Linked DNA regions of Ovis aries. The protein of the gene in region 1 interacts with the protein of each later gene in a pairwise test. Links are inferred from orthologs where the notes say so. Each region holds a gene or a part of one and is shown on either strand. Other genes may lie near its edges.

Region 1 (5,246 bases):
GGGAAGTTGCCAGAACTAACTCTGGGCAGCCTCGCCTCTTTCCGGCTTCGGTGAGCCCTTGCGAGAAACTTTATTGACACAGCTGCCAGACAACAAGCAGTGGCCTCTGCGGCGAGCGTGCTGAGGCTAAGCTGGATCTGGGCAGATGGGCTCACAGCTAGGAGCATGACTTTGCTTTGTCCGACAGTGGTCATTTGGCCCATCCGTTTGAGCCGAGCCTCTTTCAGATTGCTGGATAGAATGATTCAAATGCTCCCCTTTTCCCTATTAAACAAAAAACGTGTATGTGAAAAATTTCTTGGACAGTCAAGCATGACATAAGAGAAAGGCCATCCAATACAGAACTTCTGTACCTGGGCCCTTCAGTTCCCCTACCCCAACTCAAAGATTTCCATTTGCTGTTAATCTCCAACCAGCCCAGCAAACATTTATTGAACACCTGCCATCTTCCAGCCACAATTCTGGGTTCTGGAGACGCAGGCATGAGCAACTCAGACACTGCCCCTCCCCTCATAAAGCTCAAATGACTTTAGGGGAAAAGATCCACAGGAATGAGAAGCAACAGCCTTATGTTTCTGCCCACCTGGTCTTTCCATGGGAAAGATCACGTTGGATTCCTATTGCTTTCTTAACCTTGCTGCTGCTGCTGCTGCTGCTAAGTCGCTTCAGTCGCGTCTGACCCTATGCGACCCCATATGGCAGCCCACCAGGCTCCGCGTCCCTGGGATTCTCCAGGCAAGAACACTGGAGTGGGTTGCCATTTCCTTCTCCAATGCATGAAAGTGAAAAGTGAAAGTGAAATCGCTCAGTCGTATCCGACTCTTCGCGACCCCATGGACTGTAGCCTACCAGGCTCCTCCGTCCATGGGATTTTCCCGGCAAGAGTACTGGAGTGGGTTGCCATTGCCTTCTCCGTTCTTAATATTAAACCTAACCTAAAAAGCGCAGTATCTTCCCTGGTGGCTCAGAGGTTAAAGCATCTGCCTCCAATGCAGGAGACCCGGGTTCAATCCCTGGGTCGGGAAGATCCCCTGGAGAAGGAAATGGTAACCCACTCCAATATTCTTGCCTGGAGAATCCCATGGATGGAGAAGCCTGGTAGGCTACGGTCTATGGGGTCACAAAGAGTCAGACATGACTGAGAGACTTCACTTGCTTATTTACTTACTTAACCTAAAAAGCAAAGTGTTCAGTGGACCCATGTACACCCTGTAGTGGGAACATAAATTCACCTTCTAGACATCGACTGACCTTTCTGTCCTGAAACAACCTGTCTTTCCCACTAATTGGCCTTTCACTTGCTGTTCCTCTGTCTGGAACACTTATTCTCCAGATTTCCCATCAGGTCACAGCTCAAATATCACTTTGGCAAAGAGGTTTCTCCCTATTGATATTGTCATGTTGGTTTAATTGCTGGGCTTCTTATTTATCTGTTACCCCAACAGAGCCAGCTTTTTAAGCACAGAGACTTTGCCTGTCATCTTGTTCTTTCCTGTGTCTGTCCCTAGAATAGTGCCTAACTAATAATAATAGGTGCCCAGTAAATACTGAATGAATAAGGGTAGTAATTCTACTTCTTTTGGGGTATCCCAATCTATTTCAAGAGCCCTTTGATGAAGAAACCCACTCTGTCCCCTTTGCTTTCCTGTGCTGGGAGTTCCTACATATCCCATGTTCCCAGGACACACACCTCTAGGCTCAGAAAGTATGACTCCTCCTTTAATGCTTTTTCTGTCGGCCGATTCAGCAGGGCGGGGCCTTCGCCTTTAAACTGGGCCCCACCTGCTCTGGTCAGACAGGTTTGGAGACACAGGTAAAGGGAGGGAGACGGAAAGGAATACTTGCAGAGCCAGCAGAAGAGCTGGGCAGCTCCTTCCCGGACGCTGGGGACCCTCTACCTCTCTCCAGATGGAAAGTAAGAGGGTGTCATGGGCCCACACAGTAGGGGGGAGGAGATCCTTGGGGAGGTAGAGAGAGGGAAATCAGCCCCATCCAGAAGCAGTGAGATGGAAGGCAGCAGGGAGGGGACAAAGACCAGAGAGGAGGCATGGGAAACAACCTTCATTAGACTTAGAGGTCAGAGTGGATCCACCTGGGCCCTCCAGAGACATAGGGGGTGGGTTACTGAGAAGTTTGGAAACTGACCGAGTATCCAGATTGGAGACAAAAGGCCAGGGTGCCCTGCCACTGCCAGCTCCTTGGGACAGATCTGTTGGCAAATCATGGGTGTCAGCTGCCAGGAAAGTTCCAGTCGGGGATCTGCAGGGGAAGGGGAGATGTGGAGGAGAAGGGGCAGCTTCTCTGTTCACAAGATCCTTCATGGGAAGAAAGCCCTTTGCAAAATTCTAAATATCTCCCTTTCCTCCCGTTCCTGCGTTAGGGTGGCCATGACCCCAGGGGTTTTGGTGGAGGGGGTAGAAGGTGTGGGTGGAGGCTGACTGAGGCCATACCTGCCAGCGCCTGCGCCCCCTGACTCACCCTCTCCTGCTGAAAAGCATTTGATGTCGAAAGGGTGCCTCCATTTCAGCTGTTCACTTCTCTCCTGCCTCCCACTGTTTGAACACCTTCCTCCAGATCAGGTTCTCTCTAAGATCCCAGAAGGGGCTAAAGCCTGTGAGGCCAGCTGCCCTGGAGAGTTGCAGTTCAATCAACCCCTCCTGAGGGCCAGAGGATGGCAGCTTCTGACAGAACTTCACTCTGCTCCCTCCAGGGTGACATGACTTTGTGGTAGACTTCAGAAGTCAGGTCCCAGGATGACAGAACCCGAGACCCTGGCCCTGCTGGAAGTGAAGGGGCCTGAGACCCTGGAGAAGAGCCCACCCCAGGCCTTGGTCCCCAATGGCCGGAAGCTGGAAGGGGAAGACGGGGTTGAGTCCCTTGGAGCTGAGTCCTCTAGAGTGGGGTCTGCAGCTGAGTCTCCCACAGCCAGAGAGGGGACCGAGGATGGTCTAGACAGCACAGTAAGTGAGGCTGCCACTTTGCCTTGGGGAACTGGCCCCCAGCCCAGTGCCCCGTTCCCAGATCCCCCGGGCTGGAGGAACATTGAGCCTGAGCCCCCCGAGTCAGAGCCACCCACCAAACTAGAGGAGTTGCCTGAAGATGAAGCCAGCCTGCTGCCCGAGAAGGCAGCCCGGGCCTTCGTGCCCATCGACCTACAGTGCATTGAGCGGCGGCCCCAGGAGGACCTCGTTGTGTGCTGTGAGGCCAGCGAGGGTGAGCACCGCCGGACCTTCCTGCCCCCCCGGGCCACCCACCCTGAGCCCCCGGAGTGCAAGTGGGCCGAAGCAGTGGTGAAGCCGCCTGGCCACTCCTGTGGGGGCTGTGGGGGCTGTGGAGGCCGAGAGGTGCTGAGGGCCGTGGCCTCGGTGACAGCTGCCCTCATCCTCTTCCCCTGCCTGCTCTACGGGGCATACGCCTTCCTGCCCTTCGATGCCCCACGCCTGCCGACCATGAGTTCCCGCCTTATCTACACCTTGCGCTGTGGGGTCTTTGCTACCTTCCCCATTGTACTGGGTAAGCCTGGGCCCTGCGGGTAGGGAGGGGGCGTCTGGGAGTTGGGCTGGAGGGCAGGGCCTGCCTGACTTGGAGAGCAGGAAAGTTTCCATCACTAGACCTGGACCCTCAGGGCCTCCCACACCCTGTCACCCTGTGTGCCCACCTCCACTCAGGACCACCTCAGCCCCATCCAGGGTGCAGAGCCCTATGCCCGTGCTACAAACTCTGCCACCTGCTTCCTCACCTGATCCTGTGTGTTGTCCAACCCCATCCAGGGATCCTGGTGTACGGGCTGAGCCTGCTGTGCTTTTCTGCCCTTCGGCCCTTTGGGGAGCCGCGGCGGGAGGTGGAGATCCACCGGCGATATGTGGCCCAGTCGGTCCAGCTCTTCATCCTCTACTTCTTCAACCTGGCCGTGCTTTCCACCTACCTGCCTCAAGATACCCTCAAACTGCTCCCTCTACTCACTGGTCTCTTTGCCATCTCCCGGTGAGCTGGGGCTGGGGGTGGGGCACAGGGGAGGTAGTGGTGCTTAAGGGACCTGGGCATCTGAATGTCTGGAGAGCCAGGGAGATTCTGGACTCTGAATCAGCCCAAATGTGCACCCTGGAAAGTTGAGTCCACTTTCCGCCTTGCACTTTACCTCACTTGGCAGCTCCTGTGTCTTTCGTAAGACACATATATCAACCTAGAACGGGAAGGGAAGGGCATTCGGGTGTCACCTAGACCAGCTTCCCACCCATTGCAACCACTCCTCGGTGACACTCTGGTCAGGCGGCCACTGGCTGAACATTGGTTGAACATCCCCGTGACCAAATGCTTTGTTCTTTATAAGGCAGTCTTACTTATCAAAAGTCCTAGTTTTTATAAAGTTCTCTTTTATATTGTGCTAAAAACTTCTGCCCTGACTCTAACCTCTGGAATTCTCTAGTCAATTCAGATCTTTGACAATACCTCTCAATTCTGACTCCCAACAGTCTGCTCTCCCAGTGCTTACTTTGCTAAATGGTCCTGGTCCCTTCACTAGCCTGTGTCTTTCCATCTAGGCAGGAAATTCTGCTTGTCAAATGGGAAGGGGGTGGGAACTGGTCAAGGGATTGTCCTGTTCATCGAAACTGAGGGCACATGGCAACCCACTCCAGTACTCCTGCCTGGAAGGTCCCATGGATGGAAGAGCCTGGTAGGCTGCAGTCCATGGGGTCACTAAGAGTCGGATACGACTGAGCGTCTTCACTTTCATTCTTCACTCTCATGCATTGGAGAAGGAAATGGCAGCCCACTCCAGTGTTCTTGCCTGGAGAATCCCAGGGATGGGGGAGCCTGGTGGGCTGCCATCTATGGGGTCGCACAGTCGGACACGACTGAAGCGACTTAGCAGCAGCAGGTCTCATAGCAGCCTCATTACTCTCCTTTCATTTAGAATTTGAAGATCCTTAGGTGGGCTGCCATCTATGGGGTCGCACAGAGTCGGACACGACTGAAGCGACTTAGCAGCAGCAGCAGCAGGGTTATTTTCATGTAAACTATGTTAACCCAGAAAGGTACCCTTGAATTTCTGAAGTCTTTCAGAAATGCAGATCTTTCCATTTTTTCCCCCTAATACATTTATCATATTTATTTATTTATGGCTGAGCTGGGTCTTTGTTTCTGAGCGAGGGCTTTCTCTAGTTGCAGCAAGGGGGGGCTACTCTCTAGCTGCAGCGTGTGGGTTTGTTTCGGAGCACAGGCTCAAAGCACGCGAGCTTCAGTAG
Region 2 (5,109 bases), on another chromosome or scaffold:
GTGTCCGGCCCGAGCCCCCTCCTGGGCCTCCGGACACGCCGTCCGGTCGATCGTGCAGCCTTCGCCCCGCTCTAGCCCCCCCTCGTCTCGGACTGCGTTTCCCCGCCTGCGGCTCTCGCTCTCTCGGGTTCTCGGACCCTCGCTCTCGCCCATCTCGGTCCCTGTCCCTCTAGTTCGGTCCTTCGGTCTTTCGCCGTCTCCGTCTCGCTCCCTCCCTCGGGAGACGCCACTGGAGGGCGCCTGGAGCCCGCGGATTGCTCCCCAGTCTCCTTACCCTGGGATGGGGGAGAACGCGAAAGCCGGCTTGGCGCCCCCAAGGCTCTAGCCTTCCCCTGGTCGGCCCCCACCAAGAGCCGGGCTGTGAGAGGACAGACGCATTTTGCAATCAGGATGCTTTAATCTTTGGTGGTAGGAGCCCCCTTGGGCCCTAGGAACTGCTTCTCCTCTGCCCACCTCTCCCCACAGCTCCCATTTCTCCAGGGCCAGTCCCAGTGGTGTCGACAGTATCCACTTCCTGCCAATCTGCACAAGACCCTTTGCTCCTGGATCTCCACTGTCCCTTTGGGGCTTCCTGAGGCCCTGGGAAGCGAAGAAACACTGTTTATTATGTGAGGGAGGACTGGAGGGGGTGTTTGTGAACCTTCCCTCCCTGGAGCTCTGTAGGTGACCCCATCTTGTTGGGTCCCCCAGTGCCTGGTCAGCTGACGTGAAGAGGTGGCCCAAACCGTCAGGACTGCGTCTGTTCCTGTGCCCTGGAGGTCACACCTGCTCACCTGACCAGTCCTAAGTGTAGTACAGGGGCACCTCGCCACACAGGGTGCTCACGGTCCTGCCCAGGAAGGCCAGGTCCCCAGAGAATGCTGAGCCAGCGTCACGGCCCTGCTCCTGGCCCAGCTTCGAGGAAGGCACTGGGGGCTTGGCCTGGAAAGAGCATCTGGTTTAGAGCCTGGGAACTCAGTTTCTGTCTCACCTATGGTCCTTATCATGGGACCTCAGGTGTACCAGGCAGTCTCTGTGTAAAGAAGGTGTTGTGCTGGAGTCAGAGCCCCCAGGGGGTGTGTGGGCTCAGCTAAGCCAGCAGCTTGGCTGCGGGGCAGGGATGGGGAACTTGGCTAGGAAAGGTTGGGTGCAGGGGGATCCAGGGAGAACATTCGCCTGGCAGTCCACGAGGAGCAGCATTTTACAGGTGACAAAATCATCATCTAAAATGCTCCTGCCAGCAGCCCTGGGAAAAACCAACCCACTCCCTCTTACCCATACACCCACCTGGAAGTTCGGCAATTTTCTAGTGAGAGCCTCGAGACTTGGGATGCTCTGCGGAGCCACCTTCATAATGTAGCAGCAGGTTCCGGGGGCTGGCTTGTAGGCAATCAGGAGCTGGGCATGGGAACATATGAGGGTCAGTTCGGAAGCCGCTGCCTAGCTCACTCCTAACTCTGGTCCTAGGCCATCCCCCTCTAGGCTGGGCACTGGAAGGAGTCGTACTGGAATCTGGCGCTTAGCAAAAGCGCTGGGCGTGGGGAGAGATGAACCTGTAGGAAGGCCAAAGCAGAAGAGGTCTAGCACAGAATTATCACTGGTTCCTTAGCCTTGGGGTCAAGAGGTCCACGCATACCCACCCGCTGGTAGTCATACACCACAGTGCCAGTGGAGCCGATGGAGAAAGTGGCAGTGGTTCCCACACGCTCACTCAGGGCCAGGCGTTGCTGTGCTTCCGGGCCTGCGATGCTCATCTCTAGAACCTAGAGGAGGGCATCGTGCTGCCTGGCATTCCTCTTTCCCCACTCATCCCTGCACCTCATGCCCACCCTCAGTTCCCTTTGTGCTGTGCTGCGCTCAGTCACTTCAGTCATGCCCAACTCTTTGAGACCCTGTGGACTGTAACCCTCCAGGCTCCTCTGTCTATGGGATTCTCCAGGCAAGGTTACTGGAGTGGGTTGCCATGCCCTCCTCCAGGGGATCTTCCCCGACCGGTAAGAGATGAAGCCCTCATCTCTTATGTCTCCTGCATTGGCAGGCGGGTTCTCTACCACTAGCACCGCCTGGGAGGCCCCAGTCCTCTTTACTCAAATGCAATTCTTTCTTCCCTGGGAGCTCAGAGAGGCCCAGGGGAACCAGGCACTGGAGGGAACAGATTGTCCAACTGTGGGGTGGGGGCTGGTGAAAAAGCCCAGGCAGAGTTTGCCACCCTGTTTCCACCTCTGTCCTTCCCTGAGGCGTCACTTGCCTCCTCCCCTCATTCCCCGTGGGCAATTTGCTCTCTATCCCAGGGCCTCTATCTGACCTGCCCTGTATCCACTGCCCACCCCATCCCAAGCCTACTCACCATCTCTGTATGTTTCTGGCTCATGTGAAGACCCATGAGCAGGGCTCCTACGATCACCACGACGACAAGGACCACAACCACAACCACGATGAGAAGGCGTTTGATGTTCACGGGACAGCAGGGGATGCGGAGCCGGCCCCCGGGGACTGCTGAGTAGTCCTGACATGTGGGGCAGGCGAGGAGACAGGTATGAGGTCATGAAGATGCCACTTCTCCCTGCACAACCGGGACACCCTCCCAGTCTCTCCCGGGACTGAACAAAGAATGCCATGGATGTGCAGAAGAGGGCTGAGCCGGTTAGACGCTTCCTGGAGGAGGGGGCCTGGATTCCAACAAACTCATAGATGCTTAGAAGTGAGGTCTAGCTTGAACAGATCCAAGAGAGCCTGTTTCAACCAGTCTCACTTGCTGCTGTTTCCTCCACACCTCTGACATCCCAGCCACACCCATCCCCTCCAGTTCCCCTCCAAATCCATGCTTTTAGGTGTATGATCCCTTCTTCCAGCAATGCCTTCCTCCTTCTCCACCTGCTGAGCTCTGACTTGTTCCTCTGGAGCCAGCTCAAATGTTAGTTTCTCTGCAAAGCTTCCTGTGACCTCCCGCGTAGTGGCTCCTTTCCCAGTGCTCTCTACAGTCTTTTCCACAGACCCCTTTAATGGCTCACAGCCCCTTGTATGAGAATTAGTGGCTGCTGAGTCTGCTACTCCAAGAGTCTCTGTCTTAGTGATTGGTGTCCCTGTCTTAATTTAGCACAGTCCTAGGTTAGTTGAGTGAATGAATTTGGGTAGGAAACAGGCCCGGAGAAGTTGGAGGAGGCAGAGCCCATCATACACAGATACACTGTTGCACACATACACACACACATACATGTACATACGATCAGACTCACCGGCGGGCTCTCCATCAAGACCTCTTTGCTGCCCACATCCATCTTGCTGTAGACACCTTCCCTCCTCATCTCTGAGTATGACTAGGGTCTTATATGTGCCAGCATGGACACAGGACAGAGGTAAAAGACCCAGCCCCTGTCTGCCAACCAAGCCCTCAGCTTTGAAGCCTGTTTGTTCCTGGCCCTTCAGAGCCAAGGGCCAGATAAGCCAGCTGCAAGAGCGCCTCAGGGCCCTTGGCCCTGGCGCGTGAGTCCTCTTGGCCCCAGGGAAAGCAAAGCTGGGTAAGCTGAGCAACCTTGCCCTTGAGAAATCTGCACCTCTCACCGTGGGTGTCTTCCTGGCATGCCTACCATTCTTGCTGGCACCTGCCCCTGCCATCTTATGGCTTTTCTTGTTCTTCTGCCAGGCTGAACCTCTTTGGCAACCAAAGGCCAGACCCAATGGGTCCACCACACTTCCCAACAGATTTGCTCCCAGAATTGCCTCCAAATTGCCCCTGGAGCCTAAGCTCCAGGAAGGGGAAATCTTGTGGACCCACAGGGATAGTACCAAAGGCACGAGGTGCTTTGGCATCAGTGCAGAGTTTCATAAATGGTTCATAAATTTCCTGGGAGTGTCAGATTTTCAATTCAAGTGTACCTTCTTTGCCTATTCACACATGTCTTGTACCTAACCTCAGACATGCCCCTGGTCATTCTTTCCCAAATTCTGAAAACTGTCCCTTCTAGTTATAAATTCTTACTAACATGCAGTTTTTCTTTCTTTGTATGGGCTTGTTTGTAAGCTGAAGGCTTTTTCTTTTTAACCTGGTTTTACCATTTTTGCATTTATTTTTAAGTTGTATTTATTTATTTGTTTATTTTTGCTGTCCTGGGTCTTCACTGCTGCTTGTAGGCTTTCTCTAGCTGCAGCCAGCAGGGGCTACTCTCTAGTTGCCGTGCACAGGCTTCTTCTGTAGTGACTTCTGTTGCGGAGCACAGCCTCTAGAGTGAGTTCTCAGGAATTGTGGCACACCAGCTCAGTTGTCCCAGGGCAGGTGGGATCTTCCCGGACCAGGGATTGAATCTGTGTCCCCTGCATTGGCAGGCGGATTCTTAACCCCTGGACCACCAGGGAAGTCCCTGAAATTATTTTATGCTGAATTTATTTTCCAGACCATACATTTTTGCTTCTTCAGTTTCTTCTGGGACAGCTTTCTCTTCCGCGCAAGTTTCTGTGCACGTTTAGGAATAACTGGCTCTTTTCCCAGTCAGGATCATCTCTGTGTGCCGGGGGGAGTCCTGCAGGGGTTAATCCGACTGTGAGCTCTGCGAAGTCCTGTGCAGCATCTTGGGGGCTTGTTGACCAGAGAATCCACGTCGAAACCCTTCAGTTCAGCATTACTGTCTGCATTTTTAAGCACGTGCAGCAAAACTCAAGCATTCTTTTTGGGTCACCAAATCTATGTTTAGCCCCTCTGTTTGGCTTGGGCACATCAACCAGCTCCACAATTGGAACAAGGGCACAGCACACATTGCTTCTGTAAAGTGACATCCTTCAAACACTTGGTGGCCTTAGGGATATACATACCCTTGATAGCCTGTGCCATTTCATGAATATTCCTAAAGTGAACACGAATGTTTGAACTTCTGGGTTTACATGTTTCTGTGGGTTTTCTGCATCAAAGAAGGAGCAAACCATTTTCAGAGATCAAGCTGGAGGGTTTTTTTTGTTTTTTGTTTTTTTTTGGCTGCACTGGGCACTTGCGACCTTTTATCATTATTGTGGCAGCAGGCTCTATCTCCTTGATCAAGGATTGGACCTGGGCCCCCTGTACTGGGAGTGTGGAGTCTTAGCCAGTGGACCACCAGGGAAGTCCCAAGCTGGAGGCTTTTGATAGCAGTTCCTCACCTG
Region 3 (5,090 bases), on another chromosome or scaffold:
ATTATTTTCCTGTGATGATTATATTGATGCTTATGGGGCTTCCCTCATAACTCAGTTGGTAAGGAATCCACCTGCAATGCAGGAGACCTTGGTTCAATTCCTGAGTGAAGAAGATCAGCTGGAGAAGAGATGGGCTACCCACTCCAGTATTCTTGGGCTTCCCTTGTGACTCAGCTGGTAAACAATCTGCCTGCAATGTGGGAGACCTAGTTTCAATCCCTGGGTTGGGAACATGCCCTGGAGAAGGGGAAGGCTACCTACTCCAATATTCTGGCCTGGAGAATCCCATATAGTCCATGGGGTCACAAAAAGTTGGATATGACTGAGTGACTTTCACTTGATAAAACACAAAATATTGCATTTTTCTTTCTCCAACTTCTGTGCATATGTGTGTGCATACTTGCTTGCTTTGCTACCAGCAAGTAAGGTCACCAAAACAGAAAAAAAAAAAATGTTATGGCTTAGATTTTTTTCTTGCTTCAAATTACATACAGAGGTAGGATACCATAATTTTTCAAGTTCCAAGCTGATCTATCTTTGTCTAACCCTGTGAAAGCATTAAGTAGTTTCAACAGCTGCTTGGCCTCTTGAAATCCCTGCTTTGGGCATAGAGCCTACTGGGGTCAACAAAAAGTCCCTCACATAACAGGCATTCAGTCCAAACAGCAAGTGTTAACCCCATGGGTACTTCTATTTCAACAAGGGCTTGTGCCAGCTATTTTTAGTCAAGTCCAGGATGTGCTTATATTGTAAACACTTCAAAAAGTGGGGGTGGTATCTTTATAGTCTGTATAGATGATACTTGTGGAAAATCATGCTTTGAGAAACATTAAATTATTACTTCCAGTGATGTGGCATAATTGACACTGTGTATATGCAAACCAAATGAAAGTAAAGATTAGAAATAAAATTTTAACTATTTAGAGCAAAAGTCTACTATGGAGTAGAAAAAGTTTAAGGGGAAAAAGTGTTTTATTTTCTAAAGTGGAAGTTCAGGGGGAAGAAGTCTCCCCTGAATTATGAATTATAATTACTATATTTCTTTTATTGTTAGTGTACCAAATTATTAATTGCATAAACCAGTCAAACGATCCTTTTTAATGTCTTATGTTATTGTTGGTATAACACATAAGTTCCAATAAGATTATATTAACAGGTATGTTGTTGAATGTTGGTTTAAAATATGACCAATGGTAACTGATTCATCATTCACTTTCCTTTTAATTCTTACTTATATTTTTGCCTTCTACACCATTTCCAATGAAAACCTTTACAAAGATTTGCTCGAAGGAGAAAGTAAACAGAAGAAAATGAAGTATTAAGGAAATAGAGAGAATGTATAAGCATGTACATCAGAGCAGAGGAGGACAGGAAGTTGATTAATTCAGGCAAGGAGCCTAAGAACAAAAGAATCTAAAGACTCTAAAGCAGATTCTTCCTTATGGATTTATTAATGAAGTTAAATCCTGGTCCAAACACTAATTTATTTGAGTAAGTCCAAAGAAGTACAAAGATATGTAAAAAATTTGAGGCCTTATTTACAATGATCAAAACAACCCATTATTTTACCCAGGAAGGGCAAAATAACTATCCCATCAAATCTTATGAGACTGTGACACGACAGGAACACATTCAGAAAATGTTGCTGAAAGTTGTCCAGAGCTTTGTTCATGTGACCTTCCCAACAATTCGGACTTTTACAACTCAGGCAAGTTTTGTGATTTTTCTCTCTCCCAAGATTATTGCTAAGAAGCTGACTTTTAGAGAGAGGTTAAGTTGTTTGTGTGATGACACATAGCAAGTTAGAGGCAGAACTAGAACTGGCAGGCTGGAAATAGTTGTTGGATTGTGGTTACTCTGTAGGAGTGATAACATGAATGATAACCACAAATAACTGCCCTGGCTGGTGTAAATTTTTGACCTTTGGGAAAACAATTTGACATTTTTAAATTGAGGTTGATAATGTTCATTCTCTTTTATCTGGCTCTTTCACTCTTACTTTAGAAACTCAAGCACATATATACCAGGATTTATATATATAAGAATGTTCATAGCAACGTTTTCATAATGTCCTAAGCTGGAAACAACTCAAATGTTCATCAGCAATAGAATGAATGTGAACTGTGGTATGTTCATACTTTCAAATGCTATAGAGCAAATAAAATATATGAACCTCAGCACCACATAATAGATGGGTGGATTTCACAAAAATAACTATGAAGCAAAAGAGGAATTTACAAAAAGAAACACAGAATGTAATTCTATTTCTTCAAACCCCAAAACAGGAAATTTAACTATATTGTTTAGGAACGCAGACAGAAATGGTAAAATTATAAAGAAAACCATGGATAAGACTAGCTCAACAATTAAGATGATGATTACCGATGATAAGGCAAAAGGGAAAAGTGATCAAGAATGGAATTCTGGAGTGCGCCAATGACAATTTCTTGACCTGAGTGATATTAATACAGATGTTGCCTTACAATAATTGTTCAAAGGGTATGTTTTATGGACTCTTCACATTTTTTTTCAGTGGTCTCTGAATTGACAGCTACTCATCACACTTCTTTATTACCTATGGTTTACCTCTTACTATATCTTGCCCTTTGATGGTAAGCTTAAATGCTGTTGTTTTGTATGTTTTTAAAGTAATAAAACACAGCATTAAGGTGGGAATTTCTAGTGAATCCAATTCAATCAACATATAAGCTAACTATAGGGAGTGGGCTCTAATTTCACACACATTTATACCACAGTTAGGTAAAACCCCAGATCAGCAATCTTCCATTATTCTGCTGTTAACCCACAAAGACAATTTTGGCCTCATTTTAAATCTTTCCTGACATCAAGATCACAGTATATGATTCAAAGTGAAAAAAAACAGAAGAACTCTGAATAAACTGTTTGATATTAACTTTCTTTGAATGGAGACTTTGAAAAGATGGAAGACATATTTTCCTGTATGGTATTTTTTAATAGGAAGGGAGACAACACATGCCATAAGGTGAAAAAAAGGAAAACAAGAATCAATAATATTCTCTTTCTAGTCTAAGAAACACTGTGTACAACAGGCATTGTCTATTTCATTAAGAAATGTAAATATTCCTGTGCTTTTCTTATTTGCAACTTGTACACACATACACACTGTATGCTAAGCTTAAAAATCCTGCTGTTACCTGAATAGGGTCAAGGACACACTGGGCTGCAGTAGGCTTCTCCTCTCTCTCTCCTACTTGGGCTCCAACTCCTGCTTGTCTCCCAGGCTGTCTGGACTTCTGGGCTCTGGGCAGGGCCTAAAGTAGTCCAAGGGAGGTGGCAATCACTGTGATGTCACTGGTGAAACATCTCGAAGGAACAACCTCCAAAGGTTGGAGGCTATTTGTGTTTAGGGGGACATGAAAATGTGTTGACTAAGGCTATTCCTTTGGCTGCGAATTTGTATTATTAATAAAAGCTCAAGGACTTAAAATCCTTTTCTTTCCAGTTGACTTTTGGTACAATTGATGTAGGTTTTAAATTCATCTTTTACATCTTCACAAGTATCTCTAACATGTGTTCAAAACACTGTAAACCAAGAGTGATAGACTAATATTAACAAATTTTTACAGCATTTGGCTGCCTCTTCCACTTAGCATATGAGGGTGTAAAAGTGTAACTTCATTTAACCACCCATGTTTTCAACGTTTCTGAAGTATAAAGAATTCTCTGCCGTGCACATGCACTCCTCAAACCACACACATGCACCAGAATTCGATAGGCATCTTTTAGCTCCTTCAAAACTGATTTTAGTCCAAGTGGTGAAAGCTATCTCCCCAGTCACCTGTTCCACATAACTTTCTGGCTAAGCTGTATGTTGCAAGTTTACACATCAATATACAGTTTCATCTGAAACAGCTGTAGAAGCCATGGTTTATATATCTCTGTCAATATACTAATACAGCAGTAAACCCATACAGCAAAACTCAGTCATTTGGATAGATTGGGGGTAGCAGGAGAACTGGTAAAAACTAGTGGAAAGTGTGAGATATAGTATATCTGAAAGAAATAAAATTGTGTAACATTCAAACATAAACATTTACTAAAATTTGACTACTAAAATGAGTTTGTAATAAACATTCTAGGTGTCTGGTGGTAAATGGAACCTCTGAAGGGTTTAACAGGGTTTCCCTGCTGGCTCAGTGGTAAAGATTCTGCCCACCAGTGCGACAGACATGGGTTCCATCCCTGGGTCAGGAAGATCCCTGGAGAAGAAAATGGCAACGCACTCAAGTCTTCTTGCCTGGGAAATCCCATGGACAGAGGAGACTGGAAGGCTACAGTCCATGAGGTCACAAAGAGTTGGACATGACTAAGCGAATGAGCACAAAGTATTTAACTGAACTTGAAAATACATCCATTAAACATGACCCCAGCAATTGTGTTTTTTCATCAAATTCTTTCTTTACAGATGACAGAACAAACTTCCCCTCTGAATTCCCAGGTAGAGTCAATCAAAATAATGTATTCGCAGAAGACGTAAACAAAATTCCCTGTGTGTGCATGCACGCTCCGTCTCTTCAGTCATGTCCAATTCTGTGCAACTCTGTGGACTGTGGCTCACCAGGCTCCTCTGTCCATGGGACTCTCCAGGCAAGAATACTGGAGTGGGTTGTCATTTCCTTCTTCAAACTTTTCCCCATTATTCCTGATGAACTAGAAATATTACTAAAACAAAAACTTTCCACTCCATTTCTTCATTTTTTATATAAACTCAATATTGGGGAACCTTAATACAACATTCTGTTGTCACATGCCTTGTAAAAAGACAGGGCTTACTGAAGTGATAGGGAGGATATAGAAATTATAGTTCAGTCAAACACTGGCAAACTTCTTGAATGTAATCAGATTTCTGTCTTTTGCTTCCAAGCCTTTGCCAGATTGTTTCAAATATTATGAATGTTTCCCTACTCACTAAGTCACACCCACTCCTTTATTAACCACTCAAAATTAATTTTCGTCCAGTTAAAAAGTTATGTATTTATTGTAATATATTGAAAATATAAAAGTATAAAGAAAATTTAATATAAGCACCTAAAAGGAAAAAGGTATAT

The links.
Region 2: the proteins of TMEM79 (region 1) and SFTPC interact in binary tests that used the Homo sapiens proteins (3 or more experiments, as listed by UniProt). The two-hybrid records come from large-scale screens. The link is inferred for Ovis aries from reciprocal best matches to the Homo sapiens genes TMEM79 and SFTPC.
Region 3: the proteins of TMEM79 (region 1) and SLN interact in binary tests that used the Homo sapiens proteins (3 or more experiments, as listed by UniProt). The two-hybrid records come from large-scale screens. The link is inferred for Ovis aries from reciprocal best matches to the Homo sapiens genes TMEM79 and SLN.

Annotation. Positions count from the first base shown.
Region 1 is NC_056054.1:106,287,668-106,292,913, forward strand, and holds the start of TMEM79 (transmembrane protein 79), read left to right. Parts: upstream 1-1,797; 5' UTR 1,798-1,915; intron 1,916-2,710; 5' UTR 2,711-2,753; coding exon 2,754-3,513; intron 3,514-3,770; coding exon 3,771-3,984; intron 3,985-5,246.
Region 2 is NC_056055.1:43,446,230-43,451,338, forward strand, and holds SFTPC (pulmonary surfactant-associated protein C), read right to left. Parts: upstream 3,270-5,109; 5' UTR 3,258-3,269; coding exon 3,216-3,257; intron 2,486-3,215; coding exon 2,327-2,485; intron 1,743-2,326; coding exon 1,620-1,742; intron 1,378-1,619; coding exon 1,267-1,377; intron 922-1,266; coding exon 784-921; 3' UTR 774-783; intron 580-773; 3' UTR 378-579; downstream 1-377. UniProt on the Homo sapiens protein: Pulmonary surfactant associated proteins promote alveolar stability by lowering the surface tension at the air-liquid interface in the peripheral air spaces.
Region 3 is NC_056068.1:16,906,976-16,912,065, forward strand, and holds the start of SLN (sarcolipin), read right to left. Parts: upstream 3,270-5,090; 5' UTR 3,177-3,269; intron 1-3,176. UniProt on the Homo sapiens protein: Reversibly inhibits the activity of ATP2A1/SERCA1 and ATP2A2/SERCA2 in sarcoplasmic reticulum by decreasing the apparent affinity of the ATPase for Ca(2+). Also inhibits the activity of ATP2A3/SERCA3.